Callithrix jacchus: one gene and its partners. The protein of the gene in region 5 purifies or fractionates together with the protein of the main gene of each other region. This does not show direct contact. Links are inferred from orthologs where the notes say so. Each region holds a gene or a part of one and is shown on either strand. Other genes may lie near its edges.

Evidence for each region.
Region 1: the proteins of PPP1R12A (region 5) and RHOA fractionate together in Homo sapiens (co-fractionation; 3 studies listed by BioGRID and IntAct, with this or other methods). This does not show direct contact. The link is inferred for Callithrix jacchus from reciprocal best matches to the Homo sapiens genes PPP1R12A and RHOA.
Region 2: the proteins of PPP1R12A (region 5) and RPA1 fractionate together in Homo sapiens (co-fractionation; 3 studies listed by BioGRID, with this or other methods). This does not show direct contact. The link is inferred for Callithrix jacchus from reciprocal best matches to the Homo sapiens genes PPP1R12A and RPA1.
Region 3: the proteins of PPP1R12A (region 5) and PPP1CA purify together in Homo sapiens (affinity purification with mass spectrometry; 3 studies listed by BioGRID and IntAct, with this or other methods). This does not show direct contact. The link is inferred for Callithrix jacchus from reciprocal best matches to the Homo sapiens genes PPP1R12A and PPP1CA.
Region 4: the proteins of PPP1R12A (region 5) and PPP1CB purify together in Homo sapiens (affinity purification with mass spectrometry; 6 studies listed by BioGRID and IntAct, with this or other methods). This does not show direct contact. The link is inferred for Callithrix jacchus from reciprocal best matches to the Homo sapiens genes PPP1R12A and PPP1CB.

What each region holds. Positions count from the first base shown.
Region 1 is NC_133516.1:31,971,342-31,974,857, forward strand, and holds part of RHOA (transforming protein RhoA), read right to left. Parts: intron 1,688-3,516; coding exon 1,567-1,687; intron 1-1,566. UniProt on the Homo sapiens protein: Small GTPase which cycles between an active GTP-bound and an inactive GDP-bound state.
Region 2 is NC_133506.1:66,377,734-66,381,249, forward strand, and holds part of RPA1 (replication protein A 70 kDa DNA-binding subunit), read right to left. Parts: intron 2,724-3,516; coding exon 2,655-2,723; intron 2,513-2,654; coding exon 2,320-2,512; intron 1,991-2,319; coding exon 1,851-1,990; intron 1,471-1,850; coding exon 1,322-1,470; intron 1-1,321. UniProt on the Homo sapiens protein: As part of the heterotrimeric replication protein A complex (RPA/RP-A), binds and stabilizes single-stranded DNA intermediates that form during DNA replication or upon DNA stress.
Region 3 is NC_133511.1:124,477,349-124,481,557, forward strand, and holds the start of PPP1CA (serine/threonine-protein phosphatase PP1-alpha catalytic subunit), read right to left. Parts: upstream 2,807-4,209; 5' UTR 2,710-2,806; coding exon 2,655-2,709; intron 2,125-2,654; coding exon 1,993-2,124; intron 1,837-1,992; coding exon 1,606-1,836; intron 883-1,605; coding exon 778-882; intron 380-777; coding exon 156-379; intron 73-155; coding exon 1-72. UniProt on the Homo sapiens protein: Protein phosphatase that associates with over 200 regulatory proteins to form highly specific holoenzymes which dephosphorylate hundreds of biological targets.
Region 4 is NC_133515.1:86,265,307-86,268,822, forward strand, and holds part of PPP1CB (serine/threonine-protein phosphatase PP1-beta catalytic subunit), read right to left. Parts: intron 3,046-3,516; coding exon 2,815-3,045; intron 329-2,814; coding exon 224-328; intron 1-223. UniProt on the Homo sapiens protein: Protein phosphatase that associates with over 200 regulatory proteins to form highly specific holoenzymes which dephosphorylate hundreds of biological targets.
Region 5 is NC_133510.1:82,498,310-82,501,825, forward strand, and holds part of PPP1R12A (protein phosphatase 1 regulatory subunit 12A), read right to left. Parts: intron 3,136-3,516; coding exon 3,045-3,135; intron 1,919-3,044; coding exon 1,718-1,918; intron 1,495-1,717; coding exon 1,326-1,494; intron 1-1,325. UniProt on the Homo sapiens protein: Key regulator of protein phosphatase 1C (PPP1C). Mediates binding to myosin. As part of the PPP1C complex, involved in dephosphorylation of PLK1. Capable of inhibiting HIF1AN-dependent suppression of HIF1A activity.

The DNA of each region.
Region 1 (3,516 bases), on a different chromosome or scaffold from region 5:
GCCAAAGCACCTCTGTCTTCCAAGTTAACCTGTGTGAAGGCAAAACTCCTGATCTCAAATGATCTGCCTACCTCAGCGTCCCAAAGTGCTGGGATTACAGGCATGAGCATCCGCACAGAGCCTTTAGCCACACCTGGCCTGTAGCCCAGGCTGGAGTGTAGGGGCGCAATCTCAGCTCATTGCAACCTCTGCCTCCCAGTTCAAGCAATTCTCATGCCTCAGCCTCCCAAGTAGCTCGATTATAGGAACATGCCGCCATGTCCAGCTAATCTTTATATTTTTAGTAGAGACGGGGTTTCACCATGTTGGCCAGGATGGTCTTGAACCCCTGGCTTCAGGTGATCCAACTGCCTTGGCCTCTCAAAATGCTGGGATTACAGGTGTGAGCCACTGCATCTGACCAAATTAATTATTTTCAAATAAAATCTTTATCTTTTGAGACAGAATTTCACTTCTGTCACCCAGGCAAGAGTGCAATGGCATGATCTCAGCTCACTGCACCCTCCGACTCCCAGTCTCAAATGATTCTCCGGCCTCAGCCTCCCAAGTAGCTTGAAGTTCAGGTGCACACACCATCAGGCCCAGCTAATTTTTGCATTTTTGTAGAGCCAGGGTTTCGCCATGTTGCCCAGGCTGGTCTTGAACTCCTGAGCTCAGGTGATCCATCTGCCTCAGACTCCCAAAGTGCTAGGATTACAGGCATGAGCCACTGTGCCCGGCCGAAATCTTTATTTTTTATTTTTGTTTTTTGAGACGGAGTTTCACTCTTGTTACCCAGGCTGGAGTGCAATGGCACGATCTCGGCTCACCACAACCTCCGCCTCCTGGGTTCAGGCAATTCTCCTGCCTCAGACTCCTGAGTACCTGGGATTACAGGCATGCACCACCATGCCCAGCTAATTTTTTGTACTTTTAGTAGAGACGGGGTTTCACCATGTTGACCAGGATGGTCTCAATCTCTTGACCTCATGATCCACCCGCCTCGGCCTTCCAACAAAACCTTTAATTTTAATAGAGAAGGAGTCTTGCTAGGTTGCTGAGGCTGATCTGAAACTCTTGGCTTCAAGTGATCCTCCCACCTTGGCCTCTCAGAGTTCTGGGATTAGAAGCAAGAGTTACAGCACCTGAACCTAATTAATTTTTTAGAGCCAGGGGTCACTAGTCCCAGGCTAAACACAAACTCCTGAGCTCAAGCAATTCTCCTACCTCAGCTTCCTGGGTAGCTGGGATTACAGGCACATGCAACTATCCCCCAACAAGTTAGATACATTTTCTTTCTTTCTTTTTTGAGACAGAGATTTTCTTGTCTCCCAGACTGGAGTGCAATGACTCGATTCCAAATCACTGCAACCTCTGCCTCCCGGATTCTCCTGCCTCACCCTCCCAAGTAGCTGGGATTACAGGTGCATGTCACCACACCCGGCTAATTTTTGTATTTGTAGAGACAGGGTTTCGCCATGCTGACCAGGCAGGTCTCCAACTCCTGACCTCAGGTGACCCACCTGCCTCGCCCAGCCTAGGTGGATACATCTTGCAGTGACAAACACTGGGCGCAGGACCACTCACCTAAACTATCAGGACTGTCGATGGAAAAACACATCAGAATAACATCGGTGTCTGGGTAGGAGAGGGGTCTCAGGCGATCATAATCTTCCTGTCCAGCTGTGTCCCACAAAGCCAACTCTACCTGTAATGGGAAAAACAACCACAAGAGCTCAAGGTTAATGCTACTACACACTTAAGTGACACTAACCATAGTACATTCAAATGACAGTCTAAAACAGTAAAACACAAGAATATTTACTTTTAAGAGCATCAAGCTCAAATTAAAGTATATTTAATTTATTTTAGGTTGAAATTTGTCAAAATCGGAAATTTGAGACCCTATCTCTACAAAGCAATCCTTAATAATTAGCTGAGTGTGGGCTGGGTGCAGTGCACACCTTTAATTCCAGCACTTTGGGAGGCCGAGGCAGACGGATCACCTGAGGCCAGGAGTTTGAGACCAGCCTGACCAGCATGGAGAAACCTCATCTCTGGTAAAAAATACAAAACTAGCCAGGCATCATGGCGCATGCCTGTAATCCCAGCTACTCGGGAGGCTGAACCAGGAAAATCACTTGAACCCGGGAGGTAGAGGTTGAGACAAGCCAAGACCATTGCACTCCAGCCTGAGCAACAAAAGCAAAATTTCGGAGTATGGTGGTGCACACCTGCAGTCCCAGCTACTTGGAAAACTGAGGTGGGAGGATTCCTTGAGCCCGAGAGGCAGAGCTTGTAGTAAGCAGAGATCATACCACTGCACTCCAGCCTAGGCAGTGAGACCTTGTCTCCGTTAGGAAAAAAAAAACAAAAACCAACAACCAGATACTAGAACTGAACCAAGTGGCAAAATTCAAAATGTCAAGTCAAAAATAACATAGCTTATAAGTATTTGATTATAAATAACACTGTACTAGGTAAGAAAGCAGACAGACAGGAGAGAAGATATAAAATTTTAAATAACATTCCACCAGGTACACAGACAAGAAAGGGAGATACCACACTAAGTAAATTTTCTGCTGCAATGTGGAAACATGGAGACAAATCTGCATTCTGAGTTGGTAGGAAAGAAAAGACACAACGCTGGGTGTTAGGCAAGGCCTGAGATGACAGGAGAGACCTTTGGCTGTGCCTTTACTATTCAAGAATGTCTGAATGGCTGAAATAATGCAACACATAAGGTGAGAGAGCACTCTTTTCACATCCAGGTACATGCTCAACCTCCTGTAATAGAAGGGTAAATTTGTTGGGTACCAGCCCCGACCCCATTCATGGGTGCCCTTAGTCTTGGCGGTGACAAAGGATTGAGAAAAGGAAATAAAGACAAAGACAGAAGAGTAGAATTTTACAGCATGGGTTCAGGGGACCAACACAAGCATGGGGACCACTGGCCCCAAGTTCTGGTTTCCACAGGTTATTAGGTGCACACACTTGTTAACTGCAGGGTGGTGGAGGAGGGAGGTGATAAGGGGAGGCCTTGAAACTATTGTGAGAGGCCTTGAAACTAATGTGGGCAAGATAGCCAGGGGAAGAGGTGAGGTCTGCAGTATTTGTAGCAGATGTGATTGATTGATTATTTTATTTATTAGAGATGGGGTTTCACCATCTTGGCCAGGCTGATCTTGAACTCCTGGCTTTGTGATCCACCCATCTCGGCCTCCCAAAGTGCTGGGATTACAGGTGTGAGCCACCACCTCAAGGGGCTTTCTTTTTTTTTTTTTTTTTGATGGAGTTTCGCTCTTGTTACCCAGGCTGGAGTGCAATGGCGAGATCTTGGCTCACGGCAACCTCCGCCTCCTGGGTTCAAGCAATTCTCCTGCCTCAGCCTCCTGAGTAGCTGAGATTATAGTCACGTGCCACCATTCCCAGCTAACTTTTTGTATTTTTACTAGAGACGGGGTTTCACCTTGTTGAACAGGATGGTCTCGATCTCTTGACCTCGTGATCCACCTGCCTCGGCCTCCCAAACTGCTG
Region 2 (3,516 bases), on a different chromosome or scaffold from region 5:
ACGGATGTCACCCTATGCTGCAGACAGCCGCCTTCTCCTGTCAGGTAAGCGTCTAAATCCCCCACAGGGCACAGCAAAGGCCGTACGTCTGTTTCACCACCAGCAGCTACACCAGTTTATGGTTTCAAAGACTCCAAGGAACATGCACTCATCAGGAGTCAACAGAGCATGGAGACAGGCCACCCCCATCAAAATCCTGCATGGTCACAGCCAAGATCTAAACACCTCTAATCCCCGTCCAGGTAAAGTATGCACACTGAGCAGCCCTTTGATCAGTGCCAGGTTATTTGATTCTGGGGACAGCCGTGCTCCTTATGTTGACTGGGATCATGATTATTGACAAGTAAAATATGAAGACCTTCATGTGGGAATGCAGTTAACCTGGGGCCGAGTTCCACAGCCCAAAAGGAAATCAAGCAGTAAGACCAAAGCAATCTGCGGCTATTTCTGGTCAGACTGGGCCCTGCTTTCTACAATGCCAGCTATCACAACAGCTCAGTAGAGATGTATGGACTGTGCTCACGAGGGTGGCTTACGTGACATGAACATTCCACAACATGCTTCATGAAACTGGTCAAACACCAGTGCCACTGGTTCACATGACTCAAAGCAGAGGAGGAGTATGTAAAATGAACTCATTCTGTAGCTGCTTAAATCCTAAGACACAGCTGGAAACCGACACGCTAGCCCCGTGACTAGAGCTACAGGAGTTATTTCAGCTGGGCTAGTGAAAGCGCCTGCCTGACCACATCAATCCTTGCATACTGTGTTTCAGTTTCAAGTACTCTTTTAAGACCGAGTTTTAATGTCCTAAAAGGCTAGAGACAGTGAGGAGATTTTAACAGCCTCTTCTCATCCCCTGAGTGCTATGGGAATAACAATCTAATCCTAACAAAAAGCCTGTTGTTCTCACCACACTTTATCAGAGTCCAGTGAATACACACTGGAAGATGAGATCAGCACCAAACACTCGACAGAAAAAGAAAGCACATGCTCCCCCCACGCCACAGAGGCCTGGAGTGTGAACCCTGGAAAGAAAGACGCCTCAGCACCTGCCACGCGCTCGTTGGCAGGACCGAGGTTAGCAGGCAGCACCACATTCTAATCGCCTCCTGGGACTCTCTGGTTCGTGATGTGATTCCAGGTTTGTCAGCTCAAGGGTTTTAAAGCCATCTTCTCAGAAGGTAAAACGCCTCCAAGAAACGAATGCACCACTCACTTCCCTAACAAAGACTTCTGCTTGGCAGAGGCTCACACATGGTAACCAGCTCTCCTCAAACCCAGTCTCAAACAGCCCTTTGTTTCACCTCACGAAACCTACCATCCACGAAGCTTATAGGCCTCTGGGATGTCAGGATTCACGATGATGGTGCTGGAAGACAACACAGAGAGGCTCCGTCCACCGAAATCTGAGACTCTGGCTCCTTTGATAGCCAGCACAGGCTGTCTGGAACCATCAAATTTATCAGCCTGTAAAACAAACACCAGACATACACACGTGTCACTCGCAGGAAGAACACAGAAGGTTTTTATAGAAAACAAGGCAAACAGTCAATAGTGAGTGAATGTAATCAATGTACATAGAATCTACACAAGACAGACTTCACACATAACGATCTTCTCAAAGACACATCAAACTAGCACTACTTTCCCAGAGTTAGGGGGAGGAGCATTTGCCTCCGTAAAGCTTGAATCACAGCAAATCTCACAGAAGATAAAGGATTTCAAATATTTGCCAGACAGCACGGCCCTTCCCATCTACACGGCCAAAGCCCCCAACTCATAGGACAAGACCACCTGCTCCCCCAGGAGCTCCTCCCGTGCGCGCTGACAGCTCCGCCCTCACTTACATCTTCCCCCCACAGTGTAGCAGTCACCACCTTCCCCGACGTGTCCATCAAGTAGATATTCCTCTTAGCAACCTCTCTGTTGTTAGACCTCACTGTGATTTTCGTGGCATCTTCATAGCTCTTGCAGATCCCAATTATGTCTGAAACACACCCACAACGTGTTAGCAGGAGACCGTCAGGGCTCCAGCTGAAGGGGATGGGAGGGTGAATGGCAGGCACTGGGGTCTGACACCGCCCCGGACACTGCACAGGAGCACCATCCCCCACGCTGCACAGGAACACCACTCCGGACACTACACAGAAGCACTGCCCTGGACACTGCACAGGAGCATCGCCCCCCACGCTGCACAGGAGCACCGACTCGGACACTGCACAGGAATACCACTCCCCACGCTGCACAGGAATACCGCCCTGGACACTGCACAGAATACCACTCATCACTGCTGTTCCTTCCCATACACCAACTTACCGACAAGTGAGTCTTTAGACTTGCTCTCTAGGTTATCAATCCCTGTGAAATCAAACTGAACGGTAGGCAAGTGATGATCATCTTCACAGGGCATGACGGAAGTCTCATTATTGAAGGTCATCTCATAGTCATTTTTAACAGCTGTGAATTGTTTGTTAGCAATCTTCAGGGTGCCCTTTGAGAAATAATACACCTGCAAAGGAGGCCAAGCCACAGAACTTCAGACTGTCATCAAATTGGACAAGAAACCCTGGTCTGCCACCACACAACCCTCCACTGGACCACAGTCCTCTCATCCTCAGTGAGTGTCGGCCCCAAAGCCGACACTACTATACCTTGTTCACTTCAATGAGGGGAAAGAACTTGTCCACTTGCTCATTGAAAGCCGTAGCTCTGATTTCAGCCTGTGGAAGCACGTGAGAGCAGTTAGGACTGTGGGATTCAACTTCAAGCCTGACCAGTGAAACATAGGCCACCTCAGCATCAAAATGGCATCTTCAGAGCAGTGAGACACAAAGGGGACCCAGAGAGGGCTCCAGACATCCCAGAAACCCGCATTTTATAGTCACACATTCAAGTCATTAGCCTGCTGAAAAAAGAATTTCAATTGCTGGTCCCATAGTCATGCTGCATTAACCTCAAGTGAGACACTGAGAACTGAACGAAAGGGTAGTGTCGAGTGGAGTATTCTGACGATAAAAACCAAACCACGCTGACCACTGAGTGACACAACTGGAGCCCACAGCAGGCTGCTGCTGGGATGACTCCCGCTTCCCCCAGTGCCTTCTCAGTGACAATCACTCCATGCTCGGGAGCCACTGCCACAAATGTCACAGTAAGTCATGTTTTCAAGTTGCCTGTGATCTGATTTTCACTTTTGCTTTTCTTTCAGCCAAAATGCTATAGGTGGACAAGAAACTTAAATGATTGAAACTGTAGCCAACCTTTAGAGCAGTAATGTGTTTAAAAAAAAGGTTCTAATATTGATTCTGCCACCACACAGTCAAACATTTTGGGTGTTATACCATCCTTCCTCCCACCCCCAAAAAATCTATTTTTTTCTCTGCCTTTGGGAGTTTGAACAAACAGGAAATATGTGGCAGTTTGATTTAGACATCATTATATTATTATTTCTATTTTTTTTGAGATGGAGTCTTGCTCTGTTGCCCAGGCTGGAGTGCAGTCATGCAATCTTAG
Region 3 (4,209 bases), on a different chromosome or scaffold from region 5:
ACAGTAGTTGGGAGCTGAGAAAAGTGTCACCAGCTGCCTCTTGGCAAAGAACTCATAGCCATCTTCTACCACCTGGGTGCAGACCAGAGCAGTCAGTTCTGCATGCTGGCACTGGCCTCCCTTTCTCCCACCCCAGGCCAGAGCTGCCAGCCCACCTGGTGCGCCCGGCAGATGAGGTCCAAGTCGTGCTTGTGCAGGAACTTGGCCACCACCTCGGCTCCGAAGGTAAAAGACACGCCACGGTCGTTCTCGCCCCAGCCTTGCACGTCCTTGTCAGGGTCAGACCACAGTAGGTCACACAGCAGGCCCTGGTCAGGCACGTCTGTGGGCCGCATGATACGCCGGATCTGCTCCATGGATTGCAGGTCTGGGGACAAGCCTGGGGGACCGGGGGAAGTCCACATCCTCAAACAAGGACATCCTCACTCCAGGAAGCTGTGGCCAATCAGCCTCACCTTTCCCACTGCCCCCTTGATTCCTCCACAGGTCACCTGGGCACCCAGGCGGCAGAAGTCATCCCCTTCCCCTCAGCTTTTGCAGGTTCCCAAAGAGGCACAAAGATGTCCCCGCCCTCAGGAGCGCAGAGCTCCCGGGAGATAGACAAGCCAAGCCTATTCCATGTAGGATGCACAAGGGAGTCAGCGCAGCCCGGCACAGGGGTATGGGAGACACTTCCCAGAAGGAGTGACTTCCCAGATGAGACAGACCTAAGGAGAGCTGGCCCGGCAATGGGGGATGCGGCCAGGTCTCCTTGTCCCCAGCCGTCCCCTCCCTCACCTCCGTGGCAGCAGAAGATCTTTTCATCCACGATGGCTGCGATGGGCAGGCAGTTAAAGCAGTCCGTGAAGGTTTTCCACAGTTTGATGTTGTAGCGTCTCTTGCCTGCCCAGGAGATGGCTGTGAGGGGCCCGCCTACCCCACCCTCCACCTGGGTCCCTGGGCTATTCAGACGCAGATGGGAGGAGAGAGGCTTGGAGGCAAACCACCCTGCACCCTGCCCCTGTCCCCACTCCTGCCCCTGCAGCCTATCAGCCTTCCAGGAACTATTCTCTTTACTTTTTATTTTAACTTTTAATTAAACAGTCTTGCTCTGTCACCCAGGGTCAGCTGGAGTGCAGTGGCGAGATCATAGCTCACTGTAACTTGGAGCTCCTGGGTCCAAGTGATCTTCCTGCCAGAAGTAATTCTAAAGCACCCAAGTCCAATGAAAACTGAGTTCCAATCTGGACCGGCCTCAGGGCTGGCACTCCCCAAACACCCCCACCCATAAGCTGGGCCAAGTACAGGTCTGGTTTATCTCAGCTTCTGGACAGCTGAGCCCATCTGCAAACACATCCTAAGTGCTTAGTAGCAGATGTAAGTGGAGCCTCACCAGGCAGGGCCCTGGGAGCAAGCACCAGAATACCAGCAGCCTTCCAGTCAGCAACCATGCCCCAGACCCCGTGCCAGGCAGGGCAGGGCAGGCACGAGAATGGAGCGGGCCCTGCCTTCGTGGAGCGCACAGTCTAGCAAGTGTCTGTCAGATACGAAGCCAATGTGAGGGTCCCACTGAATAGCAAGGAGCGTTTCGGGACCCGGGCAACCCTGGGTGCTCAGACCACTCACACTCATCGTAGAAACCATAGATGCGGTTGATGCTGGCACACTCGTGGTTCCCACGGAGCAGGAAGAAGTTCTCGGGGTACTTGATCTTGTAGGCCAGCAGCAGGCAGATGGTCTCCAAGGACTGCTTGCCCCTGTCCACATAGTCCCCCAGAAAGAGATAGTTGCTCTCCGGAGGGAAGCCCCCATACTCAAATAGTCGCAGAAGGTCGTAGTACTGGCCGTGGATGTCACCTGTGACCCATGGAACCGAGTAAGCTAGATGCTGGGTCTAGACTTGAACCCAGGGCCAGGACTAGGCTCAAGGGAGGAGGGCTCCAGGAACTTTGTGGGGGCCAGTGCCACTTTTAGGAAGCCAAAGGGGCCTGGGCGAGGCTGGGGGCTGCTCACCGCAGATCTTGAGGGGTGCCTCCAGCTCCAGGAGAATGGGCTGGCTCAGGAAAATCTCCCGGGATTTCAGGCACAGACCGCGGATCTCGTTCTCTGTCAGCTGTACATTCTTGCCAGGCCGCGAGCCCTGCACTGGGGGCGCAATGCGGAGTCAGGACCCTGGCCTCTCAGACAGGGGGAGGGTGGGCGACACGGTGGCCCCGTGGATACCTCCGGGGGCGCCTAGGCCTCCTCGGCCCCTCCTTGCCCAGAGGCAGCTGTTGCTGCTGAGCCTCCTGGGACGTCGGCCTCAAGCCTCCCAAGGGAAGCCCCCCTAGTTATCCTCAAAGGCTCGGGAGGCGACTGTCGTGCGCAGGGGGCTGCCGCCCAAAACCTCACAGCGCAAGACACCTCCCTGGACCGGGCTTCCCGGGTTTCTCCCTCGCCCCAAGAGCCGAGGCAACCCGTGAGCCCCCGGCCGGGGAGAGGGGGCTGCTCCGCGCCTCGAAGCCGGCCCCGGACCTCTCAGGCGCGTCCGCGGGGGGGGGCGGCTGCGGCCACGGAACCTCGCGGCGCGTCCCCGCCCAGTCTAAGCTGGCCCCGGGGGCCCGCCCGCGCGCCACTTCCGGGCTGGGCAGGGGTCCAGGGCGCGGCGGACGCGGACCTTCCCCACCCCGGCCAACCTTCCAGCAGGCGCCCGATGATCGAGTCCAGGTTGAGCTTCTCGCTGTCGGACATGGCGGCGCCGCCGCTCCAGTCCAGCAGCTCCGGGCCCGCTCCCGTCTCCCGCCCTCCGGCTGCCTCCTTCCGGCCTGGCTCTCCTTCCGCCCGCCCCAGTCCGCCCCCGGCCCGCCGCTCCGCCTCCGGGCCTCCCGGGCCCGCCCTGCCCGGCCCCCCGCGCTCTAGCGCCCCCGCTGGATGTGAGGCGCGGAGGCCCAGGGGGCGGGGCCTCGGCGGCGGGCTGGGGGCGGTGTCTGTCGGGGGCGGGGCCGAGGCTAGTTACGCCCGAGAGGAGGCGCCCAGCTCCGTTTCGAGGATGTGGGGCCGGAAGGAATGTGGAAGTTGTTTTTCTCTTTCAAAAGCTGAACAGCCCTTCCCACCCCTGCCCTGGGTGGAGGGTGTCGTGAACACGTTAATAACCGGCTGCCCCGCACTGAGGGTTAACTTCTCCAAATGCAGAAAGGGAAACTGAGGTTCAAGACATAGCGACAGGCTGGTTCAAGACCTGGACCTCGCTTGCACCGAGGACCCCCTTCCTCGTGGGTCTCCGTGGCCCCCAGGCGGCTGACCACACTCAAAGACAGCTAGAATTCCCAGCGCACTTTGGTCCTTGGGGCATGCTAAATTAATATTTTCTTATAAGTCCCATAATTAGCTTTTTTTTTTTGAGGCGGGTTTTGCTCTGTCCCACAGGCTGGAAGGCAGTGGCGCGACCTTGGTTTAATGCAACCTTCCCCTCTTGGGTTAAAGCGATGACAATGCCTCAGCCTCCAGAGTAACAGGGACTACAGGCGGATGTCACCGCGCCCGCTAATTTTTGTATTTTTATTAGACGGGGAGTTTCCATGCTAGCCAGGCTGGGATCACAGGCCTGAGCCATCACACCTGGCCCCATAATAAGCTTTGAGTAGCACAGTAATATTGCAGGGTGTGCACGTAAAAAGAATTATAAAGAGTAGACATTACATGAACCGTAATTACTGTTGGAACCCTGAGTTGGGTGCTTTACACACCAGTAACCTCAAAACTGGAGGTGGGCTGGCCATCGTGGCTCAGGCCTGTAATTCCAGCACTTTGGGAGGCTGAGGCATAATGATCTCTTGCGCCCAGCCTGGGCAACATGGCGAAACCTCGTCTCAACACAAAACACAAAAATTGGCCAGGCACCGTGGCTCACACCTGTAAGCCCAGCACTTTGGGAGGTTAAGGCAGGCAGATCACAAGGTCAGGAAATTGAGACCATCCTGGCTAACACAGTGAAACCCCGTCTCTACTAAAAATACAAAAAATTAGCTGGGCATGGTGGTACGTGCCTGTGGTTCCAGCTACTCAGGAGGCTGAGGCAGGAGAATCACTTGAACCAGGAGGCAGAGGTTGCAGTGAGCTGAGATGGCGCCACTGCACTCCAGCTTGGGTGACAGAGAGAGAGAACGTATCAAAAAAAAAAAAAAAAAAATTGTGCTCACTTCGGCAGAACATATACTAAAATTGGAACGATACAGAGAAGATTAGCATGGC
Region 4 (3,516 bases), on a different chromosome or scaffold from region 5:
ACTCCAGTTATCCTCTTCATATGTGAAACTATATTTAAAGCATTACATTTTCATTTATAAATAAATCTGTAATTATTAAAAGAGGTTTTAGCCATGTTTAAAACAGTTTTAAATCACTTGAGCTTTCACACAAGCACTGCTTTGTTTTCCCACAGTCTAATTATTGTAGGTATTTTCTGAATAATAAAATAAGAAAATCTGTAAGGCAAATTTGCTAGTCTACCTCCATGACAACAGAAGATCTTCTCATCCACAATGGCTGCTATAGGCAGACAGTTAAAACAATCAGTGAAGGTCTTCCACAATTTAATATTAAATCTTCGTTTGCCTATAAAAAGAATAGTTAGAATAAATTAAAAAATCTAAAACTGTTCTCATCTGTTATCTCAAAGCCATAGCATTATGAATGATTTCATTTCTTTCTTCATGTTTATCTATACAGAACTTTTTCTATAATGCATAAATGTTATTTACATACTTTTTAAAAGGCAACAAATATAGTAAATATTCAATACCTTCAGTAAAGTTACCAAGACTTCAAAGATTATGCTGGGGTAAGGGTGGGATGGGAAGATGTTGGTCAAAGAATACAAAGTATCAGTTGGGTAGGAGGAATAAATACATAAGATCTATTGTACAACATAGTGACTATAGTCAAAACACTATATTGTATCTTTGCAAAATACTAAATTATAAGTGTTAACCTTTTGAGATAATGCATATGTTAAATCAGCTAGATTTAACCATTCTGCAATGGTTATAGGCAGGAAGATAAGATCCTCTCATGATGTTCAAAACATCATGTTGTCCATCACAAATACATACAATTTCTGACAACTTAAATAAACCTAATCAAATCTAACACTTTAAAAAACCCACAGATTGTGCTAAGGGTTTTATGAAATTCATCAAACAGTCTGCCTGTTAAGATCATTATAATATAACAATTTTTTTTGAGATGGAGTTTCGCTCTTGTTACCCAGGCTGGAGTGCAATGGCACGATCTCGGCTCACCGCAACCTCTGCCTCCTAGGTTCAGGCAATTCTCCTGCCTCAGCCTCCTGAGTAGCTGGGATTACAGGCACGCACCACCATGCCCAGCTAATTTTTCGTATTTTTAGTAGAGATGGGGTTTCACCATGTTGACCAGGATGGTCTCGATCTCTTGACCTCGTGATCCACCCGCCTCGGCCTCCCAAAGTGCTGGGATTACAGGCTTGAGCCACCGCGCCCAGCCTATAATATAGCAATTTTTAAACAGTCTAATAGGCCTCATAGTTCATTTTTTCCTCTCCAATGTGTGAACTAGCCAAACAAGCAAGCAAAAGGGAAAGGTTGCCTCTGGAAACTGTCCATTTAACAGTGTATTGAGAAACACAGTATAAACTTATTGCCAATGAAGGAAAATTTCCAAGTGTTTAACTGGTATTCTCCTTTGTGTGAATTACAACTTGGCACTATAGCAAGTATGGTGCCAAGGCACAAAGGCTATAATTTTCCTATAGCCTAGTATAAAAAGCTACAACAAAGACAACCTCAAGTGTATGTTCACCTTTTTAGAGTCATTTGATTTTCCTGAATTTGGTAATAAGGTACAACTGCTAACCTAGGGAAGAGATGAAAGACGTAAGTACTAACTTCCTGTGCTTTTATGCCACAGCCTGCTCCTTTATAAGTATATAACTCAAAGTATTGTTTACAAGTTGCTCTCCTATACATTATTTTATTTGATGTCATTTCTATCCCCAAGGACATTCCTGCCTATCTTTTATCCTTTAAAAATATACCTCCATCTCTGATGTAGCTTTAGGAAGAATGTTGTAGTTTGATGTACTCAAACCCACTTTCTCTCTTCTAGTCTGATTTAAGTAATTCAAACCACACAGCACATCTCAGAAATAAAAATATAATATAAAATCAAATGCAGAATCATTCCTATTAGAATGTAAGCTCCATGAGAACAGAGATCATCTGTATTGTGTAGTGCTTCATGCACAGTGTTCACAATAGTGCCTGGCACATATACCCTCAAACTTTGTCAAATCATTATATAAATCGAGAAGACGACTTTGAATAAGTCTCTAACAAAATTAAGGATTAAAAAAAGAGCAAAAGTAGATTCTAATAGGGAAAACAGCAATGAAAAGAAATCAATTTGAAAATCACAACTGATTCTAAGTTGTAATTAACCAAACATATACTTTTGCACTCTTATCTAATAAAACCAAAAGACCACATTTGAATCTAGTAGGGTATTTTAATAATAATACTTGGAAACATTACTGCACAAAACGAAATCAGTGATTTGCTACTAATGAAAAAGAGAATAAAACTAAGGATACCCCAGAGTATTCAGTATCTTTGTCTTTCAAGGTTTATAGACACAGATTTAAATTCTAATAATATTAAACTTTGACTTTTAAATAGTTTCATAGAACTTCTCAATAACTCTTGTGACACAGGACTAATAAGAGCTTTTGTCATACCACAAGAATGCTGAGAGCTAAAACCTTAATGGACAATAGAAAACCAGAAGCCACAGACTTCTGTTTTGCCTGGATGGTTTACTAGATAAACTAATTTTAAAAGAACCTCTTCAGCCAGGTAAGCTGCAGTCAATCTGGAACATGACCAAGGATATCTGAAGGAACCAATTTAATTAGTGACGTTTCCCAGTTTCAGGTTCCTCTTCCTGGCGTATGCCTGATAGATCTTATTTTGAAAAAACTCTGAATCAAAGGAACTCTTCTGAACCAGAAAATTATTTGGCAATCCTTCCATGAATTACTTTTCTAAGTCTTTATTTTCACTTACATTCATCATAGAATCCATAAATGCGATTGATGCTAGCACACTCATGGTTTCCTCTTAAGAGAAAGAAGTTCTCTGGATATTTTATTTTATAAGCCAATAGCAAACAAATGGTTTCCAAAGACTGCTTTCCTCTGTCCACATAATCTCCTAAGAAAAGGTAGTTGGCTTCTGGTGGGAAACCTCCATATTCGAATAATCTCAGTAAATCTGTATACTGTCCATGAATATCTCCTAAAAAGAGAAAAAGTCAGTTTTACAAAAATTGGTTACTGTTATAAGCAGTTTCTTTGAAATGATTCCCAACGTTTACATCCTGTGTAATCTTCCCCTGCCCTTGAGTATGGGCTATATTTAGTAACTTACTTCTAACAAGCAAAAGTGAGATGGGCTGTCACTTCCAAGATTAAGTTACAAAAGACTGTGACTTTCATCTTGTTTGCACTCTCACCTTCTTCATACTTGCTGATGAAACCAGCTATCTAATGAAGAAGCATCCCATGTAGCAAAGAACTGAGGGAGGCCTCTGGCCAACAGCTCATTTGAAGCTGAGGCTTTTAGTCCATCAGTCTATAAGGAACTGAATCCTTTCATAGTTCAACCTTCAGATGACTGCAGCCCGAGATCACACTTAATTGGAGCCTTGTGAGAGACCCAGAGCCAGAGGACCCACTAAGCTGACCCACAAAAATTGAGATGGTAAAT
Region 5 (3,516 bases):
CTAGTTATTAAGGCCTGAGAAGGAAATCGTTATTATATTCAAAGCTGACACTAACTATATGGAATAAAAACAGTTCTTAATGATGGAACAACTAGCGGGAATCAAATTTATTAGTTTCTGCTTCTAATATTGCCAGTCTTTGCCAGGCAGTGATACAATATTCGCTTCATTTCATTTCCATTAGTTAGTATCCAAGAGCAAGGCTGTTTTTTTCCGGAAAATGTTTATTAAAAATGAATCAGCACAAAAATGTTAGTTTTAGTATTTCCGTTTCATTCCTGAGACAGTTAAAATGGCTTCAGGCTTACACACTAGAAGAATATTAGAGACTATGAATATGCTAATAAATACAGATGTACATGAAACAAAATGATTTTAAGACACCCCAATAGAGTATTAAGAAGTTTTAAAAGCTATTTTGGAATAGGTTTAGGGCAAAGATCTCAAACTCCAATGCCCACAGCAGCTATCCAGGTAATATCAATGGGTAAAATGGGCCAGGGGACTATCCAGGGGGATGGAACGCAAGCAGCTGCTACTACATAGCTCCAGCTAATTGCTGATAGGTGAGAATTCAGATCCAGTGTTGCCGGATCTGCCTACTTTTCAAGAAATGCCAAAAATATGAAGTTTGAAGTGAGTATGTCTAGTTTTAAATGTTGGTTACAAATTTTCACAAACACTATGCAGGCCTTACTCCTAACAGTTTTAAAATATATAAAGCCTATAATTAAAAATAATTTTATTTAGTATTTATCTCTGATTTAAAGTAGGAATTACTCAGAATTTAAATAGAAAGTTTATATAAAATAGGAAATGGTAATAATGAGTATCAATATGCCAATATATAGTTGAGAAAGAAATGTATTTTTCAAGAAATAAGCATAAAAAATGTGTTTGGTGAGATCGTTACATGTATTAAGTAATTTTAGTTTACAACAATTTCACAAAAAACATTTAAATGGTATGCTCTCCACAGTAGGCAAGAAATAGCTTAAAGCATCTGAGAAGTACTACATTAATGAACTGCTTCTAGAAATAGTCACCCACCAGTTCAATATTAACTTTTCTTTATAGGTGGACATGAAGACTTTTGTGAAGCATTGGGTTATAAAAATATTAAAATCAACTGTAGGTCATACTATTTTCTATATCTGTTTTCTACTTTTCTCATTCTCGACCTTCATATTCTTTCTGTTTAGGTTCAATGAATCACAAGTTAGGATGTTGTTCCTTTTTATTCAAATTATTATTTAGGAAACCCTAATTCAAAGAATTATATTATACAAAGAAAGCAAAGTGTTTTCAAAATTTAGTATTCTTACCTCTTTCATTTTCTTTTGTTATTCCTCTGGAGTAAGCAGACGTTATACCTACAAGACTATTTGGCCTGTTTAGTTGACTTGAAGCATAGAGTGAACTGCTTATAGTAGAAAGTGAAGAGGATGGAGTGGTTGAACTTGAAGTTGATACTGGCCTATAACGCTGATAAGTCTGTGAAACATTAAGATCAAAATCCATTTGAAACATTAAATACAAAAACATATAAAGTATTTAAAAATTCGTTTCAAAGAAAAAGTAGTGTTCTAATCATGCCAAAGTAATTCAGATTTCCAGCTAAAATTCTCTGAAGTATTTTGTATATGGTTTGTTGGTATATAAATCTCTTGCATGCTGAGGATGTAAGAACTGTTCATATCATTTGATATACTGTTACCTCATCATATGTTCTGGAGTACTTTTGTTTATATTCATCTTCTCTAGATGTTTCTGACTCCTTCTTTTCTTCTTGTTTCTCTTTATCTTGTTTTTCTTTTTCCTCTTTTTCTTTTTCTTCATTTTCTTGTTCTCTGGTTCGAGTAGAACGACTTCTTCCTATAGTTTTCTCAGCTTCTTGAAGATCAGTTAATGTCACTCCCTGTACACACAAAAAGATCATATAATTATGAGATGCATTAAATCTTGTTTCAAAGGAATATTTTAGTAATGGATATATTATATACAAATGCATTAAAAGACAAATATGCATGTTTAGAATTGGTTTGCAAATGGAAACAGCAAGTTACATTCATTCTATGAAGAATCACCATTAGCAAGCACAATGATAGGTACTGGGGAAGATATAAATGTAGATAAGAAATCACCTCTGTATTCAGAAATTGACAAAATGGTAAAAGATATGACAAATACTTTATGCATATAAGTGTTCCCCACAAGTTCAGAGTAGGGAAGAATAGCCAACATATATACTGTTTGTATATTACATTATAAATATTTATGTCTATGTGTGTGTGTGTGTGCGTGTGCACATAAACACATACATGCATGATAACTGTTAAGGCTTAAAAGAGAGTTCAATAAATTTTTCAAGATTTGACCTTAAAGAACAGGTCAGATTTCAAGAAGTGAAAAGTATAAAGACAAAAAAAGTATATTAAGGCCCTAGCAAATAGTTCAGCTTGTAAGCTAAGTAATGGTAAGGATAAGACAGCTGAATCTGGACTGTGGAAAAGAGACACAAAAGTATACATCATATTTAGCATAATTAGAATGGCAAAGAGGAGGTAAGGAGATCACCAGCCTGAATGGCATTTTTTTTCATACTTGAACATTAGCTGTTTAATATACCTAATATAAGAGACTATTCTCTGCCCCCCACCTTCCAAATACTCAGTTATTAGACATCATATATGATTAATTCATTCTAACACCAATACTCTGTGCTGTATTAGAAATAAGGATTTAAAAAAACTCAAAAAGACACAAACAAGTATGCTAATTAGATGAAATATAATAGTAACAGTGAAACCATACAAAAGACTGTGGGAGAATTACTAGAGCGATCCTTACCTTTTAAGGATTTACTCATACTATATACTGACATCAATATTTTCACAACAAAGTGAAAAAGAGAAAGGTAATTTGTTTTACAAGTGTGTGTGTGTGTATACATGTATGTATATATATATATATATATATATATATATATATATGTTTTACATGCTACTTATGTAAGTTGTATATATTAATTATATTAACGATACCTGTGTTGATCTTCTAGATTGTCTTGCTTGTCTAGATCTTGCTTTTCTTTGGGATTCAGACTCTTCATCCCTAACAGGAGTGAGGTATGATCTACAATAATAAATAAAAAAATCATTAGTTGTAAATATAATACCTGTGAATGTAAGTATCTTATCAATGTATATGAACAAAGCGCACAAGTTTAGTATTTTAGTAAGTTTTAAGAAAAAGTCTTCAGAAAATGGTCTTTGAAACTCAATAATGCAATCTAATAATTTCTTTTTAGATTGGAACTATATTTTAATTATACTTTAATATCACATTTTAACTTCCTAACTACATTTAAAAAAATCATGTAATTTAAGATGAAACTACATTTTAAAAAAGGATTTAGGGAACTGAAAATTAAAAGTTTCAGCTCTACTGAAAGAAACAGAAGGATTTCATCTTGCCCAATTAAACAGAATGTATAAGGGATAAATTTTTTGTTTG